Anolis sagrei: one gene and its partner. The protein of the gene in region 1 interacts with the protein of each later gene in a pairwise test. Links are inferred from orthologs where the notes say so. Each region holds a gene or a part of one and is shown on either strand. Other genes may lie near its edges.

Region 1 (8,442 bases):
TGACAGATGGGATAGTCCAGATGGATGGGGAATGTTTGTGTGAACTAATTGAAAAAAAATTGAACAAAAAATATGCACATGGCACATAACTTGTTAATAATAATAATAATAATAATAATAATAATAATAAGATCAACTCCAGGGGCCATCCTGTCCAACCTGTTTCTGCCATGCAGTAAAAGCACAAATCAAAGCATTCTTAACAGATTACCATCTTGCCTTTGAAATCATAATAAAAGTAATCATAATAATAATGCTAATAGAAGCAACTCCAGGGGCCACTCAGCCCAACCTGTTTCTATCATGCAGGAAAAGCACCCTCAACGCAACGGCCTGCAGGGCCTTCCCACCGGGGGCAGGGGAGACCCTGCAGAATATGGCAGTGGAGAAGCCCCATAGGCCGCAGCAGCATGCTTCCTAGCTGGGGGGAGGGGGCTCCGAGGGGCCCCTGCAGAGCCTCTGACTGTGCTTCATTGAGTCCTATGGGCTCCATGGAGCACAGTTTGAGAACTGCTGAATGAGAAGATTATACATTAAGCATTGAACTATAACTATGGACAGCAGTATAAAAATCTCCAGTCAATCATGAAAATGCATTGTGTGACTTTAGACAAGTTACATGCTCTCAGAAAACCCTGTGATAGAGATGCCTTAGGGCCTCCATAAGTCAAAAATGACTTGAAGGCATAAAACAACCGTAACAAAGTTGAGTGAAGAAGTAGCAATGGGGACACTGCAGGTACCATATTTGCATTTTAACCATCAGGCAACAAAGCATTGGGAAAAGGGTTCATATTCTCTAATATTTCATAGATAAAAACTGGGACATGTATGACTATGCAATATCAGAATATTTTCAAGATAGGAAATTATATTGGGAAGAAAGTACAGAATATTGGAGAGATTGTAATAGTTTGCTTTTGCCTGAGCCAACTGAAAAGGACAAGATCCCATCATCTTCTTTCTTCCTTCCTCTCTCCTCACTGAGTTAATTGAGTGCAAACTACTTCCACGTTTTGACCTCAGTTTGAAGCAATTGAGGTAAGCTGAGGACAAAGGTGGGGGGGGGGAGCAAGAGAATGAGAAGGAAACTAGGTCATTTTAAAAGCAGCTGAAAAGGCAGGACAACAATTTGAGAGTATGGTGGTGATGGTATCATCCTCTTTAGCTGGGATGGGAAATGTATGGTCTTTCACCAGAGGGAATTTCAGCAGTTGCCGTGCCCCCGCCCCATGACAAGCCATACTTACTAGAAGTCCCTCATCCTTCTTCCCTTTTCTGCATTTTTTAGTCAGTGGGACACTCTTTCCCTTGTGGTAGCTGACTATTTCAAAGGCCCCTCCTCTAAACAACAACCCCCAGAATTCTGCAGGAGGTAGCCACATTATTGGGGTGATTGGGGTGCAGGGTGACAGGATCTCACGCCAGATTCACCTCACTATCACCATTTGAAACTCAATGTGATTAAATCTTTAGTGATATAAGTAAATGTCTCAAATGAATTTTCACTCCACTGTTAAGGTTGCTGGATTTTCTTGGGCCACTCACTGCTTTTGAGTTTCACCTACTTCAAGAGATTGTTGCAAAGACAAAACGAGAAAAAGAATGACATACACTGTCCAATCTTCAATCTCGTTGAAGGGCAGGATAAAAAAAAATGATTCAAGGATTACAGAGTCTGAACAAGAAATGCATACAGTTTGTTTGTCTCATTATGATTTGGAATCTATTAAGAACTACTAACTAAAAGGTCAATGTTTCAATTATTAAGATCCCCAAGTCTTAGCCAAACTCTGTTCCAAACTAAAGGTACAAAACTCTTATCTTTAAGCTTGGCAGAAATGGGGGACAATTCTATAATACACATCTAAGAATGAGAGCCAATATGACATAATGGTTTGAATGTTGGACTACAACTCTGAAGAGCAAGGTTTGAATCTTTCTCAGTCTTGAAAGCTTACTGGGTGGTCTTGGGCAAGTTACACAAACCTAATCTCACCAGAGCATGGATCCACTTTACATCCAGTTTCTGCCTCCTGCAGACCGCTAAGGTTTAGTTTTGTGAGGTCCAGGACCTGGCTGGCTGAGCAGTTTACAGGCCCCTCCCTAAACTACAAGCCCCAGAATTCTGCAGGAGGCAGAAACTGGGTTTAAAGTGGATCCATGCTATAGTGTAATTAGGTCCTTTAGCTTCAGAAAACTCCATGACACGGTTGACAAAAGTTGGGAACAACTTGAAGGCACACAACAATAAATAAATTTCCAAGACTTTGGCATGCATCCATTCACCTCTTTGGCCAAGAAATTACATTTGTTATTCGCTATATGAAAACGTATGTAAAAAGATCTAGAAAACTTCTGTTTCTGAACCCAAATTTGTCTTGAGCCAAGTCATGAGTAGCAAGGGGTCAATGAAGAACAAGGCTTCTCCACCTTCAACACTTGTGTAGAAGAAGGAACTCTATTTAGTGGAGTTTGTAGTTTGTATCATACATAATTGAATTTTTCTGGGTTCCTTTCACACTATGTTTGTGTCCAATGTTTTAATTGTCATGGTTACCACATGTGAAAATTTAGGATTTGTAGTTTAAGGAAGGTGATTTAAAATCATCAGCAAGAGAGTTCTAAGTGTTTTATTAAACTACAAACCCCGGCATTCCACAGGGTGCAGCCATAGCAATAGAAGTAGACTCTTAGTGCTATAATTAGGTAGTAGTATAAAAGGATTCCTGGTCCACTTAACCATTAAAAAGACAAAAATCATGTTCTTCTTTTATTGCACAAAATATAAATGCATAGACATGTGGCCCAAAGAAAATTAATGACAATTTCATTTATACAGAACTCCTTTCACCTGAAAATGGTCTCAAAATAGTTCTGTCTTAAATACAACTTAAAATACAAGCAGACAATTAGAAAGACTTGGGGGAGATTGTAATACAGATACACCAAACAAAATCTTCATAAATAAAATGAATAAATTAATTCCACAAACAAGAAGCTTTAAATCCCTAGCCAGGATCATAATCCCAGTTGACACATTTGTCTCCGGGATCTTCTGATGATGATGCCACATGAGATAGATCCCTTAAACAGACAGTACATATTTTAGTGTATATATCTTTGAATTGCCCATTGACTTATACTGATCCCATGAATTTCATAGGGTTTTCTTAGGCAAAGAGTACTTAGAGGTGATTTGCCATTGCCTTCTGCTGAAATATTGTCTACAGTGCTTGGCATTTGTTGGTAGTGTCTCATCCAAGTATTAACCAGGTCTGACCCTGCTTTCAAGATCAGACAAGATCTGATACCTTCAGGATATTTAGGCACACATCAAAAAGACACCATAAAAAGATCTAGACTCTAGTAATTTAAGAGAATACTTACTAGTTGAACAAGCATCCATCATAACACCTTTCCAAGAAGACAGTTCCAACTCCTGAATTTAGTACAGTGGCTGCGTCATTTTGTCTTTCCATCTACGCTACTTCAGAGTTAAAATGATGTTTCAACGTGATGACAGCCTGAAATGAAGCAACCCAAGGACTCTCCTCCTTGGTGACTCCACCCTTTCCTCCTGGTTCCGCCTTGTGCATTCAGATTGACAGAGGAAACTATTTGCTCTCTGGACAGAAATGTCAGTTCTGCAAATGATCAGAGGTTGTTTCCTGAAAAACCCACAGTGTTGCTGCTGCTACTGCTTAGACTTTTATTTACATGGCAGTGTGGTTTTCATCAAAGGGGGTCTGATGAACTGCACACCAGTCAGCCCAACGAGGTTCATCCTATGGAATCAGATACTTATAATGACCTGATTCCATAGGATGAAATGGTCATGTTTTCACCCCATGGAATTCAAGGATTTGCAATGTAGAGAGGAGTATTTAGAATTCTCTGCCAGAAACTCCTAGTGCTTCATCAAACTACCAATGCCAGGATTTCAGTTAAAGTGGAATCAGAACACTGTATTTGTGTAGTGCAAAAGGGTCCGCTCCACACTGTCACAGGAGGACTACAGTACTCTTAGCCATTCTTTAGTTTTGCCTAACATGGAAGAGAAGGTGTCCCTATGCATTGTTTTTAACATTGTTTTTAGGGTTGCCATATTCCAAAATATTCCAGAATATGTTTGAGTCCTCAGGCTTCTTGTCCACAGTAAGTCTGTGATCAAAATCCAAATGATGGCATCAACTAGAGTAGACAAGTCACACTGGATCATGAGTGCAACTTAAGTATGTGCTGATTTACTCAATGTCAATTTCTTCAGTGGGTCTACTTTAAGTAGGAACTAGCATCTAGAGTGCAGAGTGCAATGGTTTGAGCACTCGGCTATGATTTTGGAGACTAGGGCTCAATCCCACGAATAACAATCCATTAGATGATCGTGGATGAGTCACACTCTCTTAGTCCCAGAAACCTTCATGATACATTCACTTTAGGGCCACCATAAGTCAGAAATGACTTGAAGACACAGAATAGCCACAACCCACCTGGATTTAGATCACCACCTCATGCTGTGCAGTAGGAAATAAAAAAGAGGGCCCATGGAGAACAGATAGAATGGAGCAGGAAGACACCAAGATGATATTGCTTTAACCTCTGCAGAAATACCTACAATGCAATTGTGCCAGAATTTGTGGCGGGCTGTGGTCTGTCTCTCCCATAGAGAAGCAACACAATGGTACATTGCATTCTTGTACCACTTCTCCATAACTTTATCTTTGTTCAGTGCAGGATTGGTGGATACACCCAATGGAAACATTCTTGACTTGATTAGTATACAAACAAAGCTATAGCCAATCTACCATCTTTCAGACATAACAGATAGAGGGAAATTACAAGTTGCCCCTAGATCAGGGGTCCTCAAACTAAGGCCCGGGGGCCAAATGCGGCCCTCCAAGGTCATTTGCCCGGCCCTCGCTTAGGGTCAACCTAAGTCTGTAATGACTTAGGTTGCACACAACAACAACAACAATCCTATCTCATCAGCCAAAAGTAGGCACACACTTCCCATTTAAATACTAATAAATTTATATTTGTTAAAATTGTTCTTCATTTTAATTATTGTATTGTTTTTAAGTGGTTTTTGCACTACAAATAAGATATGTGCAGTGTGCATAGGAATTCATTAATGTTTTTTTTCAAATTATAATCCGGCCCTCCAACAGTTTGAGGGACTGTGACCTGGCCCTCTGTTTAAAAAGTTTGTGGACCCCTGCCCTAGATGGATGAGAATTTGATTTGCTTTTTTTTATATGGACTTTCTAATATTCTTCATAAACATGGCAGAGAGAGCTTGAGCTTTCTTAAAAATAGAGAAAAGGATAATTATTTTAGTCAGTTAACATCTGAATATTTGGTTCTTAAAAATCTAGTTTTCGGTATCTGTGCATTCAGCCTTGTTTGCAGGCCTAAATTAAAACTGACTTTTTTTCTCTAACAGTCTTCTGAACCTTAATAGCTACATGGCAGGCAGGTATACATGGTCCTTTCAGGTGTCTACTAGATTTGGCAAGTAAAGATGATTCAGGATTTATTTGGTTTCTTTTTAAATAAGAGTTTGCATTAATTCTAGAAGTTCCTCTTCAGAAGAATTGAAAGAATAAAAGTTTTAGACAATTAGATAATGAGAGAAATGAAACAGAAACACTCTGCCATCCTTCCTATATACATGGTAAAGTTTGAGAAGTGCACATATACAGTATTTTAGAGCTATTCTCTCTCAATCTCAATCTCTCTCTCTTAGGGTGTATTCACAGTTTCAGCCCACTTTTACTGTTATGATTCAATGCTATGGATTCCTGGAATTTTTAGTTTGGCGAGGCATCAGCACTTTTAGCAGGAAAGGCTAGAGCCTGTGTAAAACTGCAACTCCGATGACTCCATAGTATTGGACCAAGGCAATTAATGTGGTGTCAAACAATGCATGCTCAGTCCTTCATTCATGAAAAAAGCAGATACCAGAGCTTGTCTAAACATAATGCCTTCTAATCTACATATTTTTCTCATCATTCCTAATGCTGCGGTCATGGTGGATGGGATATCTAGTTGTGTATCACCGATTTTTCATCTTTAGATGAAAAGGAGCCCCAGAAGCTGGGTTCAGAAACAGAAAACTGGACCAGCAAGGGTTGTTTAATCCTTTCTCAGGTTTATGATATTGTAAATACATAATTTGCTAAAAACCATTTCCCATCTACTTTTCCAGCCATGAAAGAAAACATGCATGTCCTCCTTAATTTTTCTACAGTGCAAGAGAATATCAATCTATTTGTGGATTTTTAATTTTAGTGGGTTTTTTTAAAAAAAAATGACAAACTGGGTTTTTTATATGCTCACTTCCAGCCTCCTACAGCTAGTTATCTTTCTGATGATAAAACATACCCCTTCAATAATTAAATCACTTGAGCAAATAACAACATATATTAATAAAGAGATTAAAACATATAAAGTGCATAATTCCATTCATCCATAATCCTTGTTCATAATCCTGCGTTCAATTCTGTAATATCCTATTCTTCAAACTGCTGTATAGTCAGGTCTTTAGCTTTTTTTGAAAAAAAAACCCCAGAAGTGCTAAGGACCAACTGGATGTCACTGGGAGGGAGTTCCATAGCCAAGGGGCCACCACTGAGAAGGTTCTGTCTCTCACTCCCACCAATCATGCTTGCAAAGGGGGTGGGGCCAAGAGCAGGGCTCCCCAGCAGACCTTAGAGCTCTAGTTGACTCATAAGTGGAGATACGTTCATACACGTAAGTTAGACCAGAACCATTTAGGGCTTTATAGGCCAAGGCCAGCACTTTGAATTGGGCCTGGTAGCAGACTGGCAATCAGTGGAGCTGACACAACAGATGGGTTGTATGCTCTCTGTACGCTGCTCCAGTAAGGAATCTGGCTGCCACCTGTTGGATTAATTGAAGCTTCCAGGCTGTCTTCAAAGGCAACCCCACATAGAGCACGTTACAGTAGTCTATACGAGATATAACAAGAACATGGACCACCTGGCCAAGTCTGACTTCCCCAGGCACAACTGGAGCTCAAGTTGCAACTTATAGTACATTTATGCTACTTTAATTGCCATTTATGCATCAGATGGAGTCCTGGGATTTGCAATTTAGTGAAGCATTAGACTTCTCTGAAAGAAAACTTTAATTGCATCATGAAACAACAAATCCCAGAATTCTATATGATTGACCCATGACAGTTATAGTAGCATCAAAGTGTTATAATTTTGTAATGTGAAAGAGACCTCACGAATCCCTTTTTCTCACATTAGAGTTTGTTTGTTTTTTTAAACAACTTTGGGCTCTTTCAATCCCTAATGTGATTTTTTTTCTCAATTTTTGACAAATTCTTCCAAAATAAACCAAATCTAAATTCTCCCCCATTTGCTCTGGCCAAATTCAATAGATGCAGGTATTTCTAACATGGAGAGGATGATGTCATAACTGCTTGTAATGGAATAGTTAATAAGAAGAAACTTGCAACAAATACTGATGATTCCCATGTCAGTTGGGCACTGAATGTACTTCAGATTTTAATCCACATTTAAAGGAGCATTCCAAGGTACTGACACCTATCCCTATGGAGATTCGGCTTTTTGAATAGTTCTTCTAAAACTGAAGAGACATGTTTCCCAAGCACCAAGCATATATAGATGAACCTGTCAATTTTGGTTTCTCCACATATTTGATTTTTTTATTTTATATTCTTTGGTTTTCAAATATGAAGACATTTCTGTAGATTGTGAAATAAGGGTGATCCCCCCCCCCCATCACTGTCCCCCTGAAATAACTTCCTGCATATTCAGCTATAATTGACCAAAATGCAATGTTGAAAGTAACCATGAGTAACTTCCCTTTTCTATTTCCAGTGGGTTTGGTTTTTTTTTTTTGGTTTGGTTGTTTTTTTTTTGTTTTGTTTTTTTTTGCTGTTTTTCAGGCTATTTCTGGGAAAATAAATAGCTTTGGGGATTGGGGGATGTTTGCCAGAACACCAGACGTTTGTGTATCTTCTGTAAAATGTGGGTGATCTATAAAGTTTGTGGGAACTTGAGAGATGGGGTTTACATGGAGCCCATAAGCTGTACTTTCTCCACCCCTAATTATATTGGAACGTCCAAGTTTCATTGGTGTCCCAAGTTTCAGGCCTAAACATAAATATTTTGCTGTCTGAGATAACAGCCAAGATAGTACCACCTGCCCAGATATCACTTTGCAGATTTATTTATTTATTTGTATCAGGAGCAACTTGAGAAACTGCAAGTTGCTTCTGGTGTGAGAGAATTAGCCGTCTGCAAGGACATTGCCCAGGGGATGCCTGGATGTTTTTTGATGTTTTACCATCCTCGTAGGAGGTTTCTCTCATGTCACCACATGGGGAGCTGGAGCTGACAGAGGGAGCTCCTCCTCACTCTTTCCAGATTCAAACCTTTGACC
Region 2 (7,721 bases), on another chromosome or scaffold:
CACAAGCCAATAAAGGCTGGGTGAAAAGGTGTTCCTGACCTAGTATATGACAGTAACAACTACTTTCAAAGCAAGTACAACACAATTAAACAGGAAATAACACTTTCAAACCAGAAATATATTTTTTCAAATGCATAGTTACTTATTATTATTATTATTGCTATTATTATGTATTGCCCACTTTTTCCCTCATCACTTAGAGCTGCTGACAATACTAAAAATGATACAATATACAATTTAAAACCTAAACACATAAACATTAAAATAGGACTATTAAAAATAGATAATTAAAACCATGCAAGTCACCAACAACCTATTAAAATTTGGGAAAAAACATTAAATCTCACTCTTACACAACATGCATCTTCTGAACCAAACTAGTGCCTAACATATCAGGGCAGAAGCATACTGGAAACCGGCTGGAGTAGAATTGTAGAATGAATGCAGTTTGACTCCACTTGAACTGGAGCCATGGCAGTTGAAAGTGGTATCAAACTGCACTAATTCTGCAGTGTGGGTGCGGCTCAGACAATACCCTGGATGGCTTCCAGAGGTTTCCTATAATTCAAGAAAGTGTTCTGTGTGACTCAAAAGTCTGTTTTCTTATCAGCAAACATTCTCCAACTAGTGGCTGCTTTGGTGATGTTTTCAGGCATACTGGAAACTTGGACTACATGATGTGATGTTACTGTCTGCAATTGGAAGCTGAGACTATTTCTATCCTTTCGACTATCTTTATAATATGGGGGCCAAAGTCTAAAACAGCTGGAGGGCCAAAATTTGCCCATGCCTGGTCTACACTGACCACATAATTCAGTTCAAACTACAATATTTGGCAGTGTAGATCCAGTCTGACAGGCCCCATAAATTGCCATATAATGCAGATTGAACTGGATGGTATGAGTTGACACTGTCCTATAATCCAGTTCAATGCAGTTCATCTGCATTCTGAAACTGCATTTAATGGCAGTGTAGATGAGAGCCTCAATCACCTTTCGGTCAGCCTAATTATAGGTATTACATAAACAGGGTTTTTGGAGTCCCCTGTGACCTCAGAAATGGGTCTGAAACCCCAGAGCTAAGAATTGCACCATCACTGTTTGAGCAAATGGCATGCGAGAGATTGCTGGCGTCCTTTCACCTGCATCTGAATGCATGATTAATACCAGGTAAAATGCTGAGCCAGCTGGAAATGAACTCAAGTGTCGTAATTCTGCCTAAGTGATTTATTTTCCCTTTGCATGAACTTGAACAGCCTCTGCGATGTCAGATGGGGATTCCCTTTAATTAGACCTGCTTTTCATTTTAACCCAGACTGCCCCTCCCAGCATTTCTCACCACTGGCTGTGCCGAACTGGGACTTGCAGTTCAACCACATTGGGAGGTGTGTCATTGCTCACCTTTGTCCTAGAAAGGTTCAAATGAAAAGTCCCAAATGAAAAAGAAAATAAATCTTCTCTATGGGTGCCTTTCCCAAGATATATTTGCCTACGTCTGAAGAAGTCATCCTCACCATTAATTTCTGTGCTGTTGTTCTATTGCGATATCCAGAGAAACCAACATAATAAGAACAACACAATACACCATAGTATAAACAGCTTTGCTAATCAGTTTTTATTAGTAACAAATTTGCTTAATAGGGGCCCTTCCACACAGCCCTATATCTCAGAATATCAAGGCAGAAAATCCCACATTATCTGAGTGTGGACACAGATAACCCAGTTCAAAGCAGATATTGTGGAATTTTCTGCCTTGATATTCTGTGGAAGGGCCCTGGATCCACACTCAGATATTGTGGAATTTTCTGCCTTGATATTCTGGGATATAGGGATGTGTGGAAGGGCCCATGTTACAGCAAGATCTACACTGCCATATAATGCTGTCACTGTATATAATGTAGTTCAAACTGCATTATAGGGGGTCTACACTGACCATACAATGTGGTTCAAATCCTAGGCCCCTTCCATACAGCAGTATAAAATTCACAATTAACTGGATTATATAACAATGTGGATTCAGATAATTCAGTTCAAAGCACATATTGTGGAATATCTGACTTGATATTCTGGGTTGTATGGCTGTGTGGATGGGCCCCTAGCAGGCATGTAGCCGGGGGGGGGGGGGGGGGGGGCTTGGGGGGCTTCAGCCCCCCCCCCCCCAAATTCTCATGGTGGTCTGCGAAAAGGCTTTTCTGGTACATTATTTAAACTGTTACGTTTATTCGTATCATGATCTGATCACCATGCTCAATATATCCCATATGCATGGGGGTATTGGGGTAACAATACAAAAGGTTTGCTAGGGTAGACCCTCTTTCACTCAGACTCAGCCCCCCCCCCTCCCCGAATCAAAATCCTGGCTACGGGCCTGGCCCCCTGGTGTAACTTTATAGTCAACTTCTGGCAGAAGCTGACCACAGAGTTGTATTGGAGGCCCCAGGGCCCTTCCACACAACCATATAACCCAGAATATCAGGGCAGAAGATCCCACAATATCTGCTTTGAACTGGTTTATCTGAGTGCATGGAGTGCCATTACTTTCCCGCAGAAGCGGTACCTATTGATCTACTCATATTTGCATGTTTTCAAACAGGAAGGTTGGCAGCAGTTGGGCCTAACAGTGGGAGCTCACCCCACTCCCTAGATTTGAACTGCCGACCTTCCAGTCAGCAAGTTCAGCAGCTCAGTGATTTAACCCGCTGCACCACCAGTGGGTTATGATACAGAGATCTAAATAGATGGAGATTATTTAAAGCCAAAACAAAAACAGCAGCAGCGATGGGACCTGTATAAATGAATGGAGGCATCTGCTCATATTTTCAATCTGGTATCACAATTACTAATACTCATGTTAGGGGGGGAAATGTCTGTAAGCTTGACATTGCTGACCCGAACTGGAAATGGTGTGGCTATGTACTCATATTGAACCTTGGCTCAGCATACCAAAGACAGATATGAGACATGGCAAAGGGAGTTGCTTGCAACTTGGGCCCTCCCTCCAGGTGTTTTGGACTCCAACTCAGCGACTGAGGGGGAAAAGGAAAGTGCCCGAGGCTGTGAGGAATGGTGGGAGTTGGAGTCCAAAACGCTTAAGCGGCTGTGGGGAGAAAGGAAAGGGCCTGAGACTGTGAGGAATGGTGGGAGTTGGAGTCCAAAAAACCTAGAGGGAGGGCCCAAGCTTGCCCATGCCTCGTCTATAATGTGTTTTGGTGCAGTTAGTAATCATTGGAAGCCTTTCTATAGCTCCACACTCCCAATATCTATGCTGTATGAGAGACATCCAATTATTTTCTCTTTTGGAAGGAGAGCGAGGGGACCTGAACATGAGGAAGAACTTCCTGACTGTGAGAGGTGTTCAGCAGTGGAATTCTCTGGCCTGGAGTGTGGTGAAGGCTCCTTCTTTAGAGGCTTTTAAAACAAGGCTGGATGACCATCTGTCGGGAGTGCTTTGAATGCGATTTTCCTGCTTATTATTTATTTATAGTGTTTATATTCTGCGCTTCTCACCCCGCAGGGACTCAGGTGGCAGATTACAATGCACATATACATGGCAAACATTCAATGCCATTTGGACATATGACATATAGAGACAGACACAGAGGCAATTTAACATTCCAGCTTTTTCGGCTTCATGAGGATATGCTCGATTCCGGCAACAGGGGGAGCTGCTGCTTCACCATCCACTTGTGACACGGAGTCCTTGATGGAGTACTTCCTCATTCTTCTGCACACTGCTGGAAGGTTTTATGGCATCGTAAATGCGTTAAAATAGCCTTCCCGCATAAAGCGGTACCTAAATTTCCTACTTGACAGATGCAACTGTCTTTTGGGCTGCATAGGTCAACAGCAGGGTTTGTAACCGAGGCGAGCCACGCGCACGCATAAAGCGATACCATAAATTTCCTACTTGACAGATGCAACTGTCTTTCAGGCTGTATAGGTCAACAGCAGGGTTTGTAACAGAGGAGAGTCACGAGAACGCATAAAGCGATACCTAAATTTCCTACTTGACAGATGCAACTGTCTTTCGGGCTGCATAGGTCAACAGCAAGCTAGACTATTATTGGTCGGGAGCAATTTTCCTGCTTCTTGGATTGGATGGCCCATGAGGTCTCTTCCAACTCAAGGATTCTATGATTCTATGATTCTGTGTCCTATATAGGATATGGTTTTAAAACCCTTTAAGGTGAAATCGACCTGTGTGTGGCCAAACCCTGCAAAGGTCGTCCACCTCTGCTCTGGCGGACAATTGGTGCTCTGTCCCTTTAAGGCGCCACTCCTCGGGTGTCTGGTCAGCACTAAAGCGGGCAGCATCTGCATGCAGAACCCGTCGCTGCGGCTCTTGCCGCTTTCGCTCCCCCTAGCCGTCGCCACAGGCACGCACCAGCCCTTTTGGCCGCAGCCCTGGAGCGCTTCCCGGCAGTCACACCCCTCTTGGACAGGATGTATGCCATATAAGGATATTTACGTCAGTGGGTTCCCGAGCCTGGGCCGAACCATTTCGGGAGCGGGGGCGGAGCCTGACGCGGCGCCCGGCTCTTAAAAGCGGCCCGCCGCGGAGGACGCTTCAGGCAATCATCCCGACGCCGCCGTCAGGGTTTGTCGCCGAGGAGAGCCACGAGCACGCTTTAGTAACCCATTTCGGGGCGTCCCTCCGCCGCCCCTCTCTCGCCGCCTCCCCCCGCCGAGGTGGAACCTTCCAGTCGTGACGTCCGTTCATTCAGAAGTCCCACCGCAAGAGGATAAAAGGCGGAGGTGCCGCTCTTTTTACTCCAGAAGCAGAACTAAGCAGTGAGGGGAGCAGACACAGCAGACGACGACGACGGGCTTTGCCACTCCGAGAGGCGCTTCTTTCGGGAGAATTGAACCGCCCCGAAAGGACACGGAAGGGTTTGTGTCAATCCCCGAGATGATGTACCAGGGCTTCGCCGCCGACTACGACGCCGCTTCCTCCCGCTGCAGCAGCGCTTCTCCGGCGGGGGACAGCCTCACCTACTACCCGTCTCCGGCAGACTCTTTCTCCAGCATGGGATCGCCTGTCAACGGGCAGGTGAGCGAGAGAAGGACGCGGGGAAGAGATTTTCTGGGGTTGGATGGGGCGCCTTGAAAGGCAGGCGAAGTGGGTCCCTTCTCCCTTCCTCGCTCGGACTCCAAAGAGCTGATGTTTCCTTATTGGATGCTTGATGGATATATAGCCTTATGGAACATTAAATATTATTATGACTATTAATATTATTGTCTTATTGGATGTATGCTCCTGTCTTGTTGCTTTGAGTCTCCTTTAGAAGGGGATAGAATAATAATATAATATAATAATGTAATATCATAATATAATCTTACTGGATGCATGGTCCTGTCTTTTGCTTTGAAGCCCCTTTAGAAGGAGATAGAATAATAATAATAATAATATAATATAATCTTACTGGATGTATGGTCCTGTCTTTCGCTTTGAGCCTCCTTTAGAAGGGGATAATATAATACATAATAATGTAATATAATAATATAATATTACTGGATGTATGGTCCTGTCTTTCGCTTTGAGTCTCCTTTAGAAGGGGTTAGGATAATAATAATAAAATAATATATTATAATATAATATTGACTTATAATCTATTATAATATTGACTTACTGGATGTATGCTCCTTTCTTGTCGTTTGAGTGTCCTTTAGAAGGGGATAGAATAATAATATAGTATTAATAAAATAATAATATAATATAACAATATAATATAATTATATAATATATACATATATTATATAATAATATAACAATACAATATAATATTTATATTATCTATATTATATCATTATATTATATATAATACTACATATATAATCATAATAATATACCAATATGATATAATAATATTTATATTATTTCATTATGTTATATATGATAATATTATATTAATATATTATAATATAATACAAAATAATAATCGTGCCCTATATATTCCCAATTCCTTTGTTCAGAAAAGGCATCATTGGCCATAGAATTAAATGTATAATCTTACTGAAGGTATAGACGAGTCTTAAGGGGGGGGAATAATAACAAATGACATTTATTATTGGTAGTAATATGATTATTATCATCTCCCGTATCGCCCTACATATTTCCCTTTGTTCAGAGGAAGGCACCACTCAGTATGGGGTTATATAGAGGCAGGGGCGCGGGTGATTGGCGTTTTCTCTTTTTTTCTCCCCCTGCTGACACGCGAAAGAAAAAAAAAAGATGAATGGGGAAGGGGCGGGGGCGCTCTCGGCGCGCGCGTAAAAAGCGGCTCCATTGATAAAAACGCGGCTCCATTCAGGAGACTCCGGAGCGGCGCTTGCGTCAGCGCGGACGTCAGAGATATTTATAGCCTGAGCCCCGTTCGCTCGTGCGGAGCCTGACGATGGCGGGCGACGGTGGCCTCGCGGCTCCAAATAGCGTTTCTGGAGACTCTGACCTTTTTGCTTTGCCTCCTCCCTTAGGACTTCTGCGCCGACCTTTCGGGTTCCAGCGCGGGCTTCGTGCCCACGGTGACGGCCATCTCCACCAGCCCGGACTTGCAATGGATGGTCCAGCCTACGCTCATCTCCTCGGTGGCTCCTTCCCAGAACCGCAGCCACCCTTACGGCCTGCCCGCCCCGCAGACGGGAGCCTTTGCCAGGGCAGGACTAGTCAAGGCAGCCAGCAGAGGGACCAGCATTGGGCGCAGAGGCAAAGTCGAGCAGGTAGGTCCAGAGAGACAGCACGCCTGCAGGAGGAGCTGCTAAGCAGGTTTGAGCCAACCTGGGTCCTCCAGGGGCTTTGGACTCCAACTCCCACCATTCCTAACAGCCTCAGGCCCTTTCCTTTTCCCCCTCAGCCGCTAAGGAAAAGGAAAGGGCCTCCTGAGGCTGTTAGGAATGGTGGGAGTTGGAGTCCAAAGCCCCTGGAGGACCCAAGTTGGCCCATACCTGCTGTAGATGCACTCCCACTGCCCTAGGAGTCAAATATGAAGTAGAGTTGAGCTATATCTCTTTCTTTCTGGAGATTAACAGCTCTGTTTTCCCTCTTTTTGCAGCTGACGCCAGAAGAGGAAGAGAAGCGGCGAATTCGCCGTGAGAGGAACAAGATGGCAGCCGCTAAGTGCCGCAACCGAAGACGCGAGCTGACCGACACCTTGCAATCGGTGAGTCTTTCTTCTCTAGGCCTTTCCCCAGTCCTCCAGAGGTTCTCTCTGTCTCTCTCCAGGCATGGGCAAACTTCGGCCCTTCGGGTGTGTTTTGGACTCCAACTCCCACCATTCCTAACAGCCTGGAGTTGAAGTCCAAAACATACCCAGAGGACCAAAGTTTGCCCATGCCTGCTCTAGGCCTTTTCATGGTCATCCAGATGGGTTGTTGTAGGTTTTTCGGGCTGTATGGCCATGTTCTACAACAGGGGTCCTCAAAGTAAGGCCTGAGGGTCGGATAAGGTCCTCCAAGGTCATTTACCCAGCCCTCGCTCAGGGTCAACCTAAGTCTGAAATGACTTGAAAGCACACAATAACAACAACAATCCTATCTCATCAGCCAAAAGCAGGCCCACACTTCCCATTGAAATACTAATAAGTTTATATTTTTAAAAATTATTCATCATTTTAATTATTGTATTGTTTTTCAGTGTTTTTTGCACTACAACTAAGATGTGTGCAGTGTGCATAGGAATTCAAATTATGTTTTTCTCAAATTATAATCTGGCCCTCCAATAGTTTG

The links. The genes of interacting proteins can lie anywhere in the genome.
Region 2: the proteins of CYTH4 (region 1) and FOS interact in a two-hybrid assay, tested with the Homo sapiens proteins (2 studies listed by BioGRID and IntAct). The two-hybrid records come from large-scale screens. The link is inferred for Anolis sagrei from reciprocal best matches to the Homo sapiens genes CYTH4 and FOS.

What each region holds. Positions count from the first base shown.
Region 1 is NC_090025.1:165,885,206-165,893,647, forward strand, and holds the start of CYTH4 (cytohesin-4), read right to left. Parts: upstream 3,554-8,442; 5' UTR 3,413-3,553; coding exon 3,391-3,412; intron 1-3,390. UniProt on the Homo sapiens protein: Promotes guanine-nucleotide exchange on ARF1 and ARF5. Promotes the activation of ARF factors through replacement of GDP with GTP.
Region 2 is NC_090021.1:305,110,708-305,118,428, forward strand, and holds the start of FOS (protein c-Fos), read left to right. Parts: upstream 1-4,578; 5' UTR 4,579-4,908; coding exon 4,909-5,049; intron 5,050-6,473; coding exon 6,474-6,716; intron 6,717-7,048; coding exon 7,049-7,156; intron 7,157-7,721. UniProt on the Homo sapiens protein: Nuclear phosphoprotein which forms a tight but non-covalently linked complex with the JUN/AP-1 transcription factor. In the heterodimer, FOS and JUN/AP-1 basic regions each seems to interact with symmetrical DNA half sites.